Linked DNA regions of Caenorhabditis elegans. The protein of the gene in region 2 purifies or fractionates together with the protein of the main gene of each other region. This does not show direct contact. Each region holds a gene or a part of one and is shown on either strand. Other genes may lie near its edges. The genes, in order: F21D9.1 and wshc-2.

What was found.
Region 1: the proteins of wshc-2 (region 2) and F21D9.1 fractionate together in Caenorhabditis elegans (co-fractionation; one large-scale study listed by BioGRID). This does not show direct contact.

What each region holds. Positions count from the first base shown.
Region 1 is NC_003283.11:19,262,387-19,270,366, reverse strand, and holds F21D9.1 (F-box domain-containing protein), read right to left. Parts: upstream 5,920-7,980; 5' UTR 5,771-5,919; coding exon 5,720-5,770; intron 5,677-5,719; coding exon 5,600-5,676; intron 5,008-5,599; coding exon 4,753-5,007; intron 3,339-4,752; coding exon 3,017-3,338; intron 2,077-3,016; coding exon 1,805-2,076; intron 833-1,804; coding exon 706-832; 3' UTR 688-705; downstream 1-687. Other genes in the region: F21D9.2 (uncharacterized protein), read left to right, coding at 7,935-7,953.
Region 2 is NC_003284.9:14,745,354-14,751,138, reverse strand, and holds wshc-2 (WASH complex subunit FAM21), read right to left. Parts: upstream 3,837-5,785; 5' UTR 3,800-3,836; coding exon 3,737-3,799; intron 3,684-3,736; coding exon 3,519-3,683; intron 3,423-3,518; coding exon 3,288-3,422; intron 3,239-3,287; coding exon 2,992-3,238; intron 2,543-2,991; coding exon 2,061-2,542; intron 2,012-2,060; coding exon 1,760-2,011; intron 1,646-1,759; coding exon 1,409-1,645; intron 1,364-1,408; coding exon 1,178-1,363; intron 1,133-1,177; coding exon of another isoform or gene 1,126-1,132; coding exon 901-1,125; intron 857-900; coding exon 791-856; 3' UTR 697-790; downstream 1-696. Other genes in the region: C05G5.3 (Matrix-remodeling-associated protein 7 helical domain-containing protein), read left to right, coding at 1-120.

The DNA.
Region 1 (7,980 bases), on a different chromosome or scaffold from region 2:
CTGTACACCGGAGTGTCGTAGCGCGCGCTGTTTATTCCCTTGCTCACATTAATTATTGGCCTAAAATGTTGCCATTCTCTTCATTCTGGTTCTCCCGACGACATCGCTGCCCGCCTGCCGATCTTCGTCCCAATATTCCTAAATATTCTCGCCGTTTTTTCCCTGTTTATTCCAGCTCTATGCTGCCCTGCTAATAAACTTGGATTTTCGTGAACTGTGTACTGTTATGAACTCGCATTGCTCATCCTACATTTCGCATTCCTTCGTCGTCCACAATTTGTCACTCTGAGGTCCTGGCTTCCTCTCAGACGGAGTGTCAACAGAAACTCTATAAGATTCTAGATTTTCCAAAAAAATTCTAGAAGTTCGAAGATACGTCAAAAGACAAAAACTCACTTTTTTTAAACTACAGTAATCCTACAGTAGTCCTACAATATCTCTACAGTACTACAGTACTACAGCCATATCCCCTTCTAACTCCCAAACCAATATCTCTTCAAAAGACGAAAAGTCAATATTTCCAAAACTACAGTTAGCCTACAGTACTACTTCAGTACCCCGACCACACTAACCCTAAACCAATATCTAGTCAAAAGCCAAAACTTTTCAGACTACAAAGACTAAATAGACTACAAACTATCGACAGACGAAATGTATTTTTTATATATAAGTAATGATGATACACTGCATATTCTATTTATTTTATTAAAATTTGTTGTCATGCCATACAAGAAAATCGACACATCTATTTATGTAAAACACAGTTGCAAGTACTCCATCATTTCGAACGATATCGTCTCCAATTCCACAGTTAATTCGTTCAATTCCATCGCTGAAAAGTAGGTATCGTTTGGAGTAAAGTTGGACTAGAGTCTCTGAATTTTTATTTTTATGAAATGTTAAATGTGGAGTAGCGTTAGTGGGGAAATTGCTTTAAAACATGCCTATGGTACCACAATGACCGAATATCATGATAAAAAAAATTCAAAAAAATTTTCTAAATTTTATATGATTTTTTGAAAATTTAAAAAATCTCAGTTTTTGCCTAATTCCAATTTGAATTTCCGCCAATTGGATTTGTTCGATGGGGCGCGCTTGCACGTTTTTAAATTTATTTATTTTATTTTTTGTTATTTTCCACCGAATTTTTAATGTTTTCGGTGTATTTTTGCTCGAATTTTAGAGAAAAAGTCAAGATAAATGCTAATTTTTGATTAAAAACCTAATTTACAAGCGTAAATCTGGGAAATTAATTAATTCAGGTTCGAAATCGTTTACTTTTTCATTTTTACGCCTGTATTTCTGCTTTTTAATCGTAAAATTGCATTTATTTTGACTTTTTATCTAAAATTCAAGCAAAAATACACCGAAAACATTAAAAATCGGTGAAAAATAACAATAAATCAAATAAATAAATTTAAAAACGTGCAAGCGCGCTCCATCGAACAAGTCCAATTGGCGGTAATAGGAATTAGGCAAAAACTGAGATTTTTTCCAATTTTCAAAAAATCATATAAAATTTAGGAAATTTTTTTGAATTTTTTAATCATGATATTTGGTCATTGTGGTACCATAGGCGTGTTTTAAAGCAGTTTTCCCGCTGGCACTACTCCACCTTTAAATAAACTGAATAAACTGATAACAAATGCACAAAATTATAGGTGAACCAAATTATTTTCAAAACAAAATTGTCGGTAAACTAATTTTTAAGAAAGAAGTAGTTGAAAATTTTTTGCAAAACGCCATGAAAATTCTGAAGTCTCCAAACTAATAGTTTGTTTTGTTTAAAAAATAATCCACTAACCAAAAAATCCTTGCTCGACGTTCCCCATCCCACTTCGAATGTTCAACGCCACGGAGAATTTCATCCATCTGCCAAGGGCTACAAAAGTCGTTGCAGCGAAGTCTTCGTAAATTGGGCATTGCTCCCGCCATCCACAAATGAATAAATTGATTGATATGGTGTGGTCCGAGTTCATGTTTCCATAATTTGATGACCTTACAATCCATTTTTATTAATACATCTAGTGTGAACTGTTGTGCATTGAAAATATCCAATCGAGGAATTTTGAACAGCTGTAATGCTTATTTTATTGGCTAGATCTAGGAAAAAACAGGACTAACTTCAATACCCAATAATCTATGAAAATTTCAAATATATTTTCTAAAAGTGAAATAAACGGAGAGAGGTTTTTGGGTTTTTTTTTTCGAAATTTTTTTCTTCGAGATATTACAGTTTTTTTAGGCAAATTGGAAAATTGTCGGAATTGAACATTTCCGGCAAATCGGCAAACCGGCAATTTGGCGGAAAAATGGCAGGCGGCAAACGACTTTTTTCGGAAAATCAGCGGACTGTCGATTTGCCGAACTTGCCGGAAAACTATTATTTTCCGGCAAATTTCCGAAAATACATTGCCAAAAATAGAAAATGTCCGGAAAATCGGTAATTTGACAATTTGCCGATATTGCCGGAAAACGATTTTTTTTTGACAAATCGGCAAATTGCTGGAATTGAAATTTCCGGAAAATTGTCAAGTTGCCGAAAATGAAAATTTCCGAGATTTGAAAATTTCCGGCAAATCGGCAATTTCCCTCTTTGTCGAATTCGCCAAAAAATGAATTTGTCTGATAAATCGGTGAATTGCCGGAATTGAAATGTCCGGTAATTCGGCATATTTTTCCGGAAATCTGAAATTTGCCGAATTTGCCAAAAACTATTTTTTTTTGGCAAATCGGCAAATTGCCGGAATTGAAATTTCCGGCAAACCGGCAAATTGCTGAAAATGACAATTTCCGGCAATTCGGCAAATTGGCAAAAATGAAAATTTTTGGCGAATCGGCAAATCGGAAATTTGCCAAGAATTGTGAATTTCCGACAAATCGGCGAACCAGCAAATATCTGGAATTGGAAAATCTGCAAACCGGCAAATTGGCGGAACTCGATATTTCCGGCAAATCGGCAAACCGGCAAGTGTATGTTTCGAGGCAATCGTCTAGTAAGGGATATTAAACTCACCAATTCCAGTTTGAAATCCTTCCAAAACAAACATTTAACCAGCATTCCATTTTTCAAATTGAAATTGTTCAATACAAATTGCATATCATTGTTCGTCAAATACGAATAACTTTTAACAATCTCCACATAATCACATTTTCGAAATAATGGATGTTCTAGTGTTGTGTGAAACCGAAAAAGTTTACTCCTATCAATTACCAAATCCACGTGGTCGATTGAAAATAGTTCATCGAATCGAGTTAAGAGTTTCCAACATTTTTTCGCATTTCTATATTTGTATACCGAATTAACAAGTTTTCTTTCTCCGAATTTGTCTATTTTGCTGAAATTTTATTTGGAAAAGTTTCATTTTGTCTGTGTGAAAAATATCTATGTATGATATATCAAGGAAATTACCCTGATTTTACATTTGAGCTTGAAAATCCTCATTAATATTTTCGAATGCGCGCCCAAAAATTCTCATTAGAGCACACTTGCTTTGTGTCAATTTACGGGAGCTCTTTTTTTAATTTTGAATGTTTTCATTTTTTCAGCGTGTTCCTTTGTTTGTTGTGCCAGTTTTTTGCTCAAAACTCCCAAAATTGTATTTTATCAGGTCCGATCTCGAAAAACACGGACTTCAGTTGGATTTCGAAAAGATTTCAGTGTTTTCTTCTCCCAAAAATTCAACAGAAGTCCGTGTTTGTCGAGATCTGACTTGAAAATATACAATTTTGAGAGTTTTGAGCTAATAAAATGCTACATTTATTTTTTGTTAGTTCACGAAAAAACCGGCAAAACATCGACAAAAATAGAGGAAATACGCTGAAAAAATGAAAAAAAAAGCAGCCACGTGGTGTCAGGCTGTCCCATTGCGTTTTGATCTACAAAAAATGCGGGAAGTTTTTGCCTAGTAAAATGTGACGTCACACAGTCTCCTCGTCATCGAAAGCGCACAAAAACCAGCTTACTGGCGCGTTGCGCGTTTTTGCTGGCGCATTTTGTGGATTTCTCCGAAATTACGCGGAAAATAGACTAGAATTCCAAAATTATAGGCCCGCTTCTTTTGATAACTATCTTCAGGATAAAGAAGATGATTGCGAAGGTGGGTGACTTGAAATATACAAGATCTTCAGAGAAACACCATTTTTACAGTTGATTTTTTAATATCCCTTCTCCTCCTTCAGTTTTTGACCAAATTTTCTCTTTTAATGGTCTTTCATTTCATTTTGTGCTAATAAACAAATGTTAAGTTCGAATTCTGCGAAAAAATTCGTTTCAACGCTAAAAAACGACGAAGTTTATTTTTCAACACTAAATAAATTCACTCCCTCCCCCGGCTGCGCCAAGGTGTCAGCAAGTGCGCCCCAGCCCAATTCGACGCCGAGGAGACTGTGCGTCAGCATGTTCTTAACCATGTGAAATCACTTGAGAAATGTGTGTCTAGACGCGCATAAACTCCCGCAATTCTTGTAGATCAAACCGAAATGTGACACTCTGACATCACGTGACGCAGGAGAAACATGGAGCGCTCCCGTAAATCGACCCAAAGCAAGTGCGCTCCAATGAAAATTTCTTTAGGCGCGCATTTGTAAAAACTCATTGGTGCACAAGCGATTTTATGCTGAAATAAAAAATCAGGAAAATTTTCTTGAAGTTTCTCAAATAGATATTCGGAATCAGGGGAAAATTTGAAGTAATTTAGAAGTATTTCCCGCATTTTGGCACTCGACCTTTAAAAAATTATAAAAACTCACTAAAACCACTCTACCCAGAAATGCACACTGTATTTGGCTAAAGTTGATGGATCTGAAGACTTTTTCTTACACATTGCACGATAGACGGACACAAAGTCGTTCTTTTTTTCGAATATTATGATTCTTTGGTATAGTAGAGGAAAGTTGTTTCCAACGTCATATTCGAAGTGATTGTCGATAACTAACTTGTATATGTTCCTTTTGGCGTATCTCAATTTTTTGTACATCTTTTTTGATGTCTTCGATAGTTTGAAACTGAAAAGAAACGGGATACATAACAGAGATATGCGGCAAAATTTGCTGAATTTGCCGTTTTTCAAGCTCGGAAAACTTTGAAGTCACATCACACACTGGATTTTAAAGGTGGAGTAGCGCCAGTGGGGATTTTGTCTAATTGCACTTATAGTGATTCAAAACGACCGAATATCATAATAAAATACCCCAAAAAATTTTAGATTTTTCAAAATTTCCGGCCAAAGTTTTGGCAAATTGCCAAAATTTTGAAAAATACGAGCATTTGAGGAAATTTAAAGAAATGTCGCATGTTTCAACCCCTACAATGGTTTAATACAAATAATTTGAACAAAATTAAAACATAAAAAATATCGAAAAAAATTTTTTTTCGGTCAACTTCCAAAATTATGAGTGGCAAAAACTGAGTAATTGCTACTTTTTGACAGCAAATAAAAAATTTTCAAAAACTTTTGGAAAAGTTTTATCATGATATTTGGACATTTTGGGACCAAAGAAGAGGTTTTTAACAATTCCCCAACTGGCGCTACTCCACCTTTAAAAATTAGCCGAGACTATTAGTTTTGTTCCAAAAGTTTTAATGATTCAAACTTACATTGAACGAATATTCATTTGATTCATCACGTTTTTCAAAACAACAAGCGGTAGATTGAGTATTTTGAATGGTTTTTCCTAAAAAAAACCAGATTAACTAATAACATATATGTTTGCCTACCTTGAATGTTATCCGGAAATATAAGGTGCCTAGTAATTTGGAAATATGCATTTGAAATTCACAGTTTACAGTAGAAAAATACTAGTAATGATACTAGTAGTATTTGAAATAAAAAAGATCGATATTAATTTCAGGCAGCTGCAATGTAACAGATGGTGCCACTATTCACTTTGTTTGCATTGTGCGTTTTTGGCCTGGCAAAAATTAATATCGATTTTGGGATTCGATATTTCTACACTTAAAGGTGGACTACACCCTGTGGGGAAATTGCTTTAAAACACGCCTATGGTACCACAATGACCGAATATCATAGTAAAAAAAATTTAAAAAAATTTTCTAGATTTTATATGATTTTTTGAAAATTGAAAAAAATCTCAGTTTTCCCCTATTTCCTATTTAAATTTCCGCCAATTGAACTCGTTCGTTGGAGCGCGCTTGCATTATTTTCATTAATTATTTTCATTTATTCTCATTATTTCACTGATTTTCTTCATTTTTTGGGGTTTTTAATGGGAAAATGAAAGAAATTAACAAGAAGGTACTATTATTCAGAGTTTTAGACATTTTCAGTTACTTTTTAATAGACATTTTGCATTTTTCTTGTTAATTTCTTTCATTTTCCCATTAAAAACCCCAAAAAATGAAGACAATCAGTGAAATAATGAAAATAAATGGTTAAAAATTAACGAAAATAATGCAAGCGTGCTCCAACGAACGAGTTCAATTGGCGGAAATTTAAATAGGAATTATGGGAAAACTGAGATTTTTTCAATTTTTAAAAAATCATATAAAATCTAGAAAATTTTTTTAAATTTTTTTAATCATGATATTCGGTCATTTTGACCCCACCTTTAATAAACAAAGCGATTTTTAGGTTTTTAGATATTGTTTGAAAAAAAATAAATGTTTCGATTTTTTTTCGGAAATCGAAAAGTTGATAATATGAATAAAATGGACATCGGAGAAACAAGAAAACATTGAGACAAGATTTACGGAAAATGAAAAATTTCACAGCCTCTCTTTAATTCAAAAATTAAACTAAATAAAGTGATTAACTGTCTCTGCGTCTCTCATGGGCGAGACAGTGAGTTTTCTGGACCGATTTTTTACAAATTAAAAAAAAATAGCCGCCTTATAATTGTGGAGAATTTTTTTCCGGTCATTAAGTGACAATACTCTTTTATTTGACAATACAGTTTTTTTGAAAAAAAAAGTGACTCCGGAGTTTCCAAAACAAGATTTAGGCCTGAAACCATCAAAAATAGCCAAAAATAGGCATTTTTGAAAGGTTAACGGTATTTTACGGAAAACCAACAAATTTTATCAAATAACTACCGCCTTACAATTTTTACAAGTTGTTCAAAGAAGATATCGAAACATCAATAACGAGATTTGGTTAGCAATTGCCTGAGTTATATAAATTTTAAGGCATTGCGGTTTGTGGCGGTTTTCGACTTTGTTATGTTTGGAAGCCCGTAGCTCGTTGACTGAAAAAACTAACAAAAAATTGTTAACTAAGCAAATTAGCCTCATAACATGAGGAACAATTTTTTGTTTTAATACATTTCAGTTCTTTTATGGTTGCAGAGTTGTGACACGAAAATTCCAATCTTAAATCTCTGAGAAAAATATCTTAAGGAGATTGAAATTATTTTTTTCAAATCAATTATTTTAGTATACAAAATGAAAAGAAAAATTGAAATTGAGTGAGACCTTGAATCTATAGTTTTATCAAAAGTATTACTATTTTTATGTGAAAAAATATTTTATAGTTTTGTGAAATTACAGGAAAAATGACATTGAAAAATGACAGGAAAATGGCATTGAAACATGTGGAAATACGGAAATCTAATCAAATATTCTGTTTGTACACTTTTCTTTTTTTTTATGCATTCTCTAAAAGTTACGAGAAACTTCTGAATAATTCTGGAATCAACAGTTGAAAAGCGCTGTTTTTTTCAGTTATTTGATTTAAAAAACTGAGATTTTTCATGTGTTCGAGGAAATATTTTTATATCGAATAATTTGCTCAAAGTAAAAAAAAACAAAAAACAGAATAAATTACATTTTATCACGTAAAAATGACACGCCTGTTAACTAAAACTTTGCACAAAAATTACAATAATGGCACGTGACCTTTGTCAAAGTGAAACGCTGATGTGGATAATTTTGATGAATCTGGAGAGATTTCAAAAATCAATACTTGAAAATTCCAATGGCAGAAGCAACATCGAGTAAGTTGGCATTTTCGTTGGGAAAAT
Region 2 (5,785 bases):
GAAGCAAAAATGAAAAACAACCAAATGGAATCAATCATGAGACTGATGATGCAAAACCAGGAAAAGTTCGGCATGAGCAGTGACGACATCAAAGAGCAAATGAATCTCTACAACTTTTAAGAACATAATCTTTTAATTATTTTTTATTTGCTACTTTCGTATTGTAAAACAATTCATGTCAGCAAACTTTTACCAAAAACTCACAATCCACTTCATTCCATAATTGATATTTGTCCCATGATCATCATCGCATAACTTCCATGTACAAAAAAAATAAATACTGTTGAATCAACTGTGAAAAATAAATTACACAAAAAAATAAAGTTATTTCTGAAACATTTAAAAAATTGTATTTTTTTTAATAAATAGTTTTTGAGAATTCATAAGATTTGTGAAAGCTTCAAAGGACTTGCTAATGTCAAATTCAAAACCTAATTTTTTCTTTAATGTGCCCTTTTAATAAGTTCTTGGCAATGCTTTTTGGCAGTTTGAAACCTCAAACTTTGCCAGCTCTTTTGTGGCATAGCGGCCGGAAATTAGTTTTCTCTAGTTATCTATCGACAAAAAATATATCTGAATCACAGAACCTACAACACTAAAAAGATTGCGCCATTAGAAGTTCTAGATTCTAGTTGGCCACATTTTAAAAGTTCTTTTCACAAAATTCGATATTTTGAGACAATTTACACACCAGAAAAAAATTGTAAAATGTTCATATAGCAATTTTTACATAACTTTTCACAATCTTCATATATTTATTCACATGTTAGACCCATTATAAAAATTTCAACTAGTTTGACGACGACGCATTTGGACGAGTTGGTGGACGGCGGTTTGAAGGACCTCGGCAGCGACTCTGAAAGGTTTTCTTGGTGTTTCAAATAACAGACTATGTACTACCTTCAAAATACTACCGACGTGATCTTCTGGATTCTCAGCAGCGACATCATTTTCATCGCTAACCGGTAAGTTTTTGACAGGAATGTTAGGTGTAGAACCCGGGAGACGGAATGATTTTTGTAAGTCTCCTATTAGTGATATTTTTGCAGACATTGTTTCGCTTGGTGGCTCTTTTTTGGTAATTGATGGTTTTGCTGGTTTTGCTGGTTCAGATGATGAGGGTTCCTGAAAGCTAGTAAAAACGCTAATCATATGTATTTTCAGAAATCAATCATACCATTTCAGGTTGAGTGACAATTGACGAGTTTCTGTTTTTGGGAGCGATTGGTGTTTTCGGTTTTGTGGGTAGAGAGAACAAGTCTGAGTCAGAGTCACTATCATCAAAGAGTGACTTGGCGGCTGGTTTTTTGAATTCTACTTTGGGGATTACTGCGGTAGTGTTGGTGACAGGTGTTGGTTTTGGCTGCAATTTACATACTCTGTCCAGTGTATTTAGAACAAAACTTACCGCTGGAATATCAACAGCTTTTGGAACAACAACTGGCTCAATAGGCTTCTTCACAACGGGAATGGATTCCGTTTTAGCAACAGGCTTTGATTTTGAGAACGACTTTAAAAAGTCGTCATCAGAGTCCGAATCTGATGAGAACAAAGATTTTTTCGCAACTGGTTTAGTGGCTGGGACAGCAGTATGGTTTGTGGGTTTGACTTGAGGTGGCTGAGAAGGTTTTGGAGTCTCTACTTTCTGTAAAATATAACATTGTGAAAATAGGAGCATGACATTTCGGAAAAAAAATTGTGGCTTCGTGATGAGCGAAATATAAAGCTGAGCAAACAACTATTCACTCTATTCACTAACCTTGACCTCAACAGGCTTGGGTGGCACCGATTTCTTGACAACTTCTGTTGGCTGCTTCTTGATTGATGTAGTTGGCTTGAAGATGTCCGTGTCCGAGTCAGAGTCGGAGTCAAATAAGCTTGACACGAGCTTTTTAGTGTCCACTGGCTTTAACTCATTTGCTAAGATTTTTCTTGACAGAGCAGACTCGTCTGGTTTCGCTGGAGTCGCTTCAGCCGGTTTCACAGGAGTAGCCACAGCTTTTGGAAGCACCTGAAATACAATTTCATTACGAGTTTATTGTTATAAATATTTTAACAACCTTTGAAGCGGCTGGCTTTTCAGTTTTTGCAACCGTTGCAACTGCAGCGATGACTTCAATTTTTGGATGGCCAATCACAATCACCGGATCAGCAGAAATACTGGTCTTCACAACTTCAACCGTGCTTGTCTCCAGTTTTTTAACGGTCACCGATTCGGTCTCACTACTACCAAGCGGCTCACGATCCGTATCCGAATCAGAGTCCAAAAGCTTGGCTTTTGCGGCAACCTTTTTCTTCATTTCCCCAATCACTGAAGCCATAGCCGCCGGTCTCGTTGGGCCCTTCTCAATTGGCATAGCACTTTCGGATACCAATTTCTCATTGTGATGCTCTGCCAGGCTATTTTCGTTTTGTGAAGTGATACTAGCAACTTCTTTCGGTACGTCTTGAGGTGAGTGTTGAATCCCATTTTGACCGACTTGATCTACCAAGATGGCAGTAGTTGATGGAGATGGTTTTGGTGGCTTTGGCTGTGGCGGAGCTGAAAAAAACAAATTTAGTTTTGTGAATTTCTCATGTCAGGGCATATTCTCGTATTTATAAAGAAATAAAGTTCAATAAAATAAAAATGTATAAAGCTGGTTGGGAAAGTAGCAAAAGTTTGGCGAAGAAGTTGCGGGTGGCTAAAAAATTGTTCCTGTGAATTGGCGTTTTGTGTAAAAGGGTTATTCAAGAAGTGTCGGAAAATAAGAAAGTGTACAAAAATGACGTCACAGCTACATTGAAGTACAAGTTTTTCAGACGTGACATCATTTTTCTACATTTTTTTAATTTCCGACACTACTCCATAAGATTTAGGCTTGATAACAAATTCGTATCCGCTTATGAACGGAAAAACGTCGTTCTTTCCGTTGTCCTACCTTGAACTTTCAATATGAGTTATAAAATGTAACTTCCTGGATACATCATTTTCGAATTGAAAAACCCCACCTGCCAGTGTCACCGGCTCCTCAACGGTTTGTGCTACCCGTGGACCTATATCGATTTTTGGCTGCTCTACGCCATTTCCGATTTCCACACGTGATCTACTAGACTCCACAACTTCATCTTCATCTGAGCTAGATGCTCTTTGTCTATTCCTATTGGCTTGTGGTCTACTGGCACTTTGTCCATTTGCATTACCATTGGTTTCAGACTGCTCTCCAATATATCCGGACGTGAAGACTGTTGGATTTTCCTGGAGTTAGAGATTTTTTAAAAGTTTTTTGATGAATGAAAATACTCACCAGGAAGTTCATAGTGTTTCCGGCATTGATAATTGCGTTTTTGTAAGAATCCAAAAATTCCTGAGTGAACCCGCTGCTTTTTCTGCTATCAACCCGCATGTCTTCAGAATTTGGAATGTTTTGGGTAGAAATAACCTGAAAAAATGGAAAATTTATGAGGTATGTGGGAGGCTTGTACTTAAATTGAAATTTTTGGGTCCAATGACTTCAAAATTAAAAAAAAATGCTGACCTGCCTAACTGCTTTGTGATTTTTAAGATTGGCCATCCGTGATGCTGCACTATTAACTCGTAATGCTACAAGTCTCGAAAACTTTTCCAAATCATTGGCTTTACGCTCGACTTGTGTCATTCTTTGGTTCATTCTTGTTGATATGTCACGAGCCATTTGAGTCAGCTGAAATATTGATTGAGTGAATTATGAAACCATGAAAATGAAAATATATTTACCTCTTTATCGACTTTCAATGAGTTTGGATTAATATTTGTGTTAAGGCACTCATTGTGTTGCATTTTTCCCCGTTTGGCTATTAATTACCAAATTCTGAAATAAAAATAAGTAACTATCAAAGTTATTCAAAAATTGTAATGAACAAGAACCGATAAAAAAATAATAATAACCAATTGTGTAAACAGACAAAAGTGCGCAGCTGGCGCATTTCTCGAGAGTAGTTGCTGACGTACTACCGGTGCAGTGTTGCCGCTGCCCATTGCGAAAGAGTGCGGTGGAGAGAACGAGATAACGCAAAAAAGGGAAGGCGGCTGACACACAGTGAGAAAAGATGAATGGGAGTCTTGTGGAAATGTGAAAAAATATTGCAGAGAATGTTGGAAATAACGTTATAACTATGTAAAAAATCTATAAGTTCTAAAGATTTTTGTATGTTAACAGTTGAAAAAAAAACAAAGTTATTAGGTGAAAATATTGTTAGAAAAAATTGAACTTACATCATGATGTTGGAAGGTTTCCGAAAAAAAAAGTTACCTAAATATAGTTATAAAAAATGCCAAATTGGTCGTTTATCTTACAACATTTCGTTGATTAAGTTAAAATTTAAGTAATAGGTATTCAAAAGAGATTGACATGTGCAATAAAGAATGAAGTAGAAAAAAATTTTTCACCTTTGCGGCACGGACTTATTTGCAAAATTTGGGTTTTAAGTTAAAAATAAGGACATAATTTTCTCGAAATTTTGCACCTCTATAAAAAAATTAAATTTTTTTTGAGACACTTTTGAGAATTCTCATTACGAAATTAGTGCATTTAGGCAGATTTTGAGTTTATACAAAGAAAAAACCCAAAGTAGATACTCCTCTTTTATGTGCATTTTCGATTGAAAAGTGCTCAAAAGTTGACAAATTAGCACACCAATCGACCGAAAATTTACTTCCAGCTATTCCCAAAAACTCTGAATTCGAGTGTAATCGTTCAAAGGTGGAGTACAAAAATTTGAGACGTAGCTTTTTTTAGGCCCAAAATGGCTTAAAACTACCAAATTTTGGAATGAGACGTTCTGAAAATTTCTCAACCAAAAGTTATGGTGCCGCTCAAAGTTTTGGAAAAACTGGGCAATTTTTCAGTGTGGAGCTTAATTTTCATTCAATTATTATCTTTTAATGTCTTCACAATTTATAGTTATCTCGTTAATTAAGATGTTTTTTTGCCGATGCGGGCACACTTTCTATACATTTTTGGAAGCTACAAAAAAGTTGAGATATTAGCTAAAAAATGAACGTTTCTTTCAAATCATAACTTTTTTTTGAGAACAGAACGTCTTATTTTGAAATTTGGTAGTTTTGGACCATTTGAGTTAAAAAAGCAAAGCCCGAATTTCGGTACCCTCCCTCTTTTAAGCCTGTAAAAATTTAGAGGGGGGGGGGGGAATTTTTTGAGATAGTTAAACCGTTTTTTGAATGTTAATTTCATGAATTTTAGAAGCGTGAACCTAAAAAAATACCGCATAATTCATTATTTTTGTTAAACCATATGCCTAATAAATTTTATGTTTTTATTTTGGCAACAGCAGCCCATTTGTTAAGTGACCCCATATGCAGCATCGATACAGTTTTTTTTTAATTGGTGGTCACTTTTTTCCGTCTCAAAAAAAAACTAGGTTATCTTTTTTTCACTTTTCAATCTGTCCTTTCGAAGATGTTTTGATATCGCTTTCGTAAAAGATATGCAGTTTTTTTCCTGAAAAATAGAATAGCTGGACAAACTTTAACTTAACTTACATGCCCATTTCAAATGTTTCTTTCAAATTTCCCTTCTTCCTTTACCCTCGAATGCACATGTTGCAAAATCCAGGTCACCGCAATAAAATACCATCAAAAGTGGAACAAAAGTTCCATTTCTTTTTTATCCGATTCGAAAGAGAGAGAGAGAAAAAAAAAACATCTACGCGAATTTAATCGGGTGTCACGCAGTGCTAGCCGTTGCACAGGTCATTGTTTGCACGGAACCAACTTGCACTGTTTTTTTGTGGGCGGAGTTGAAAG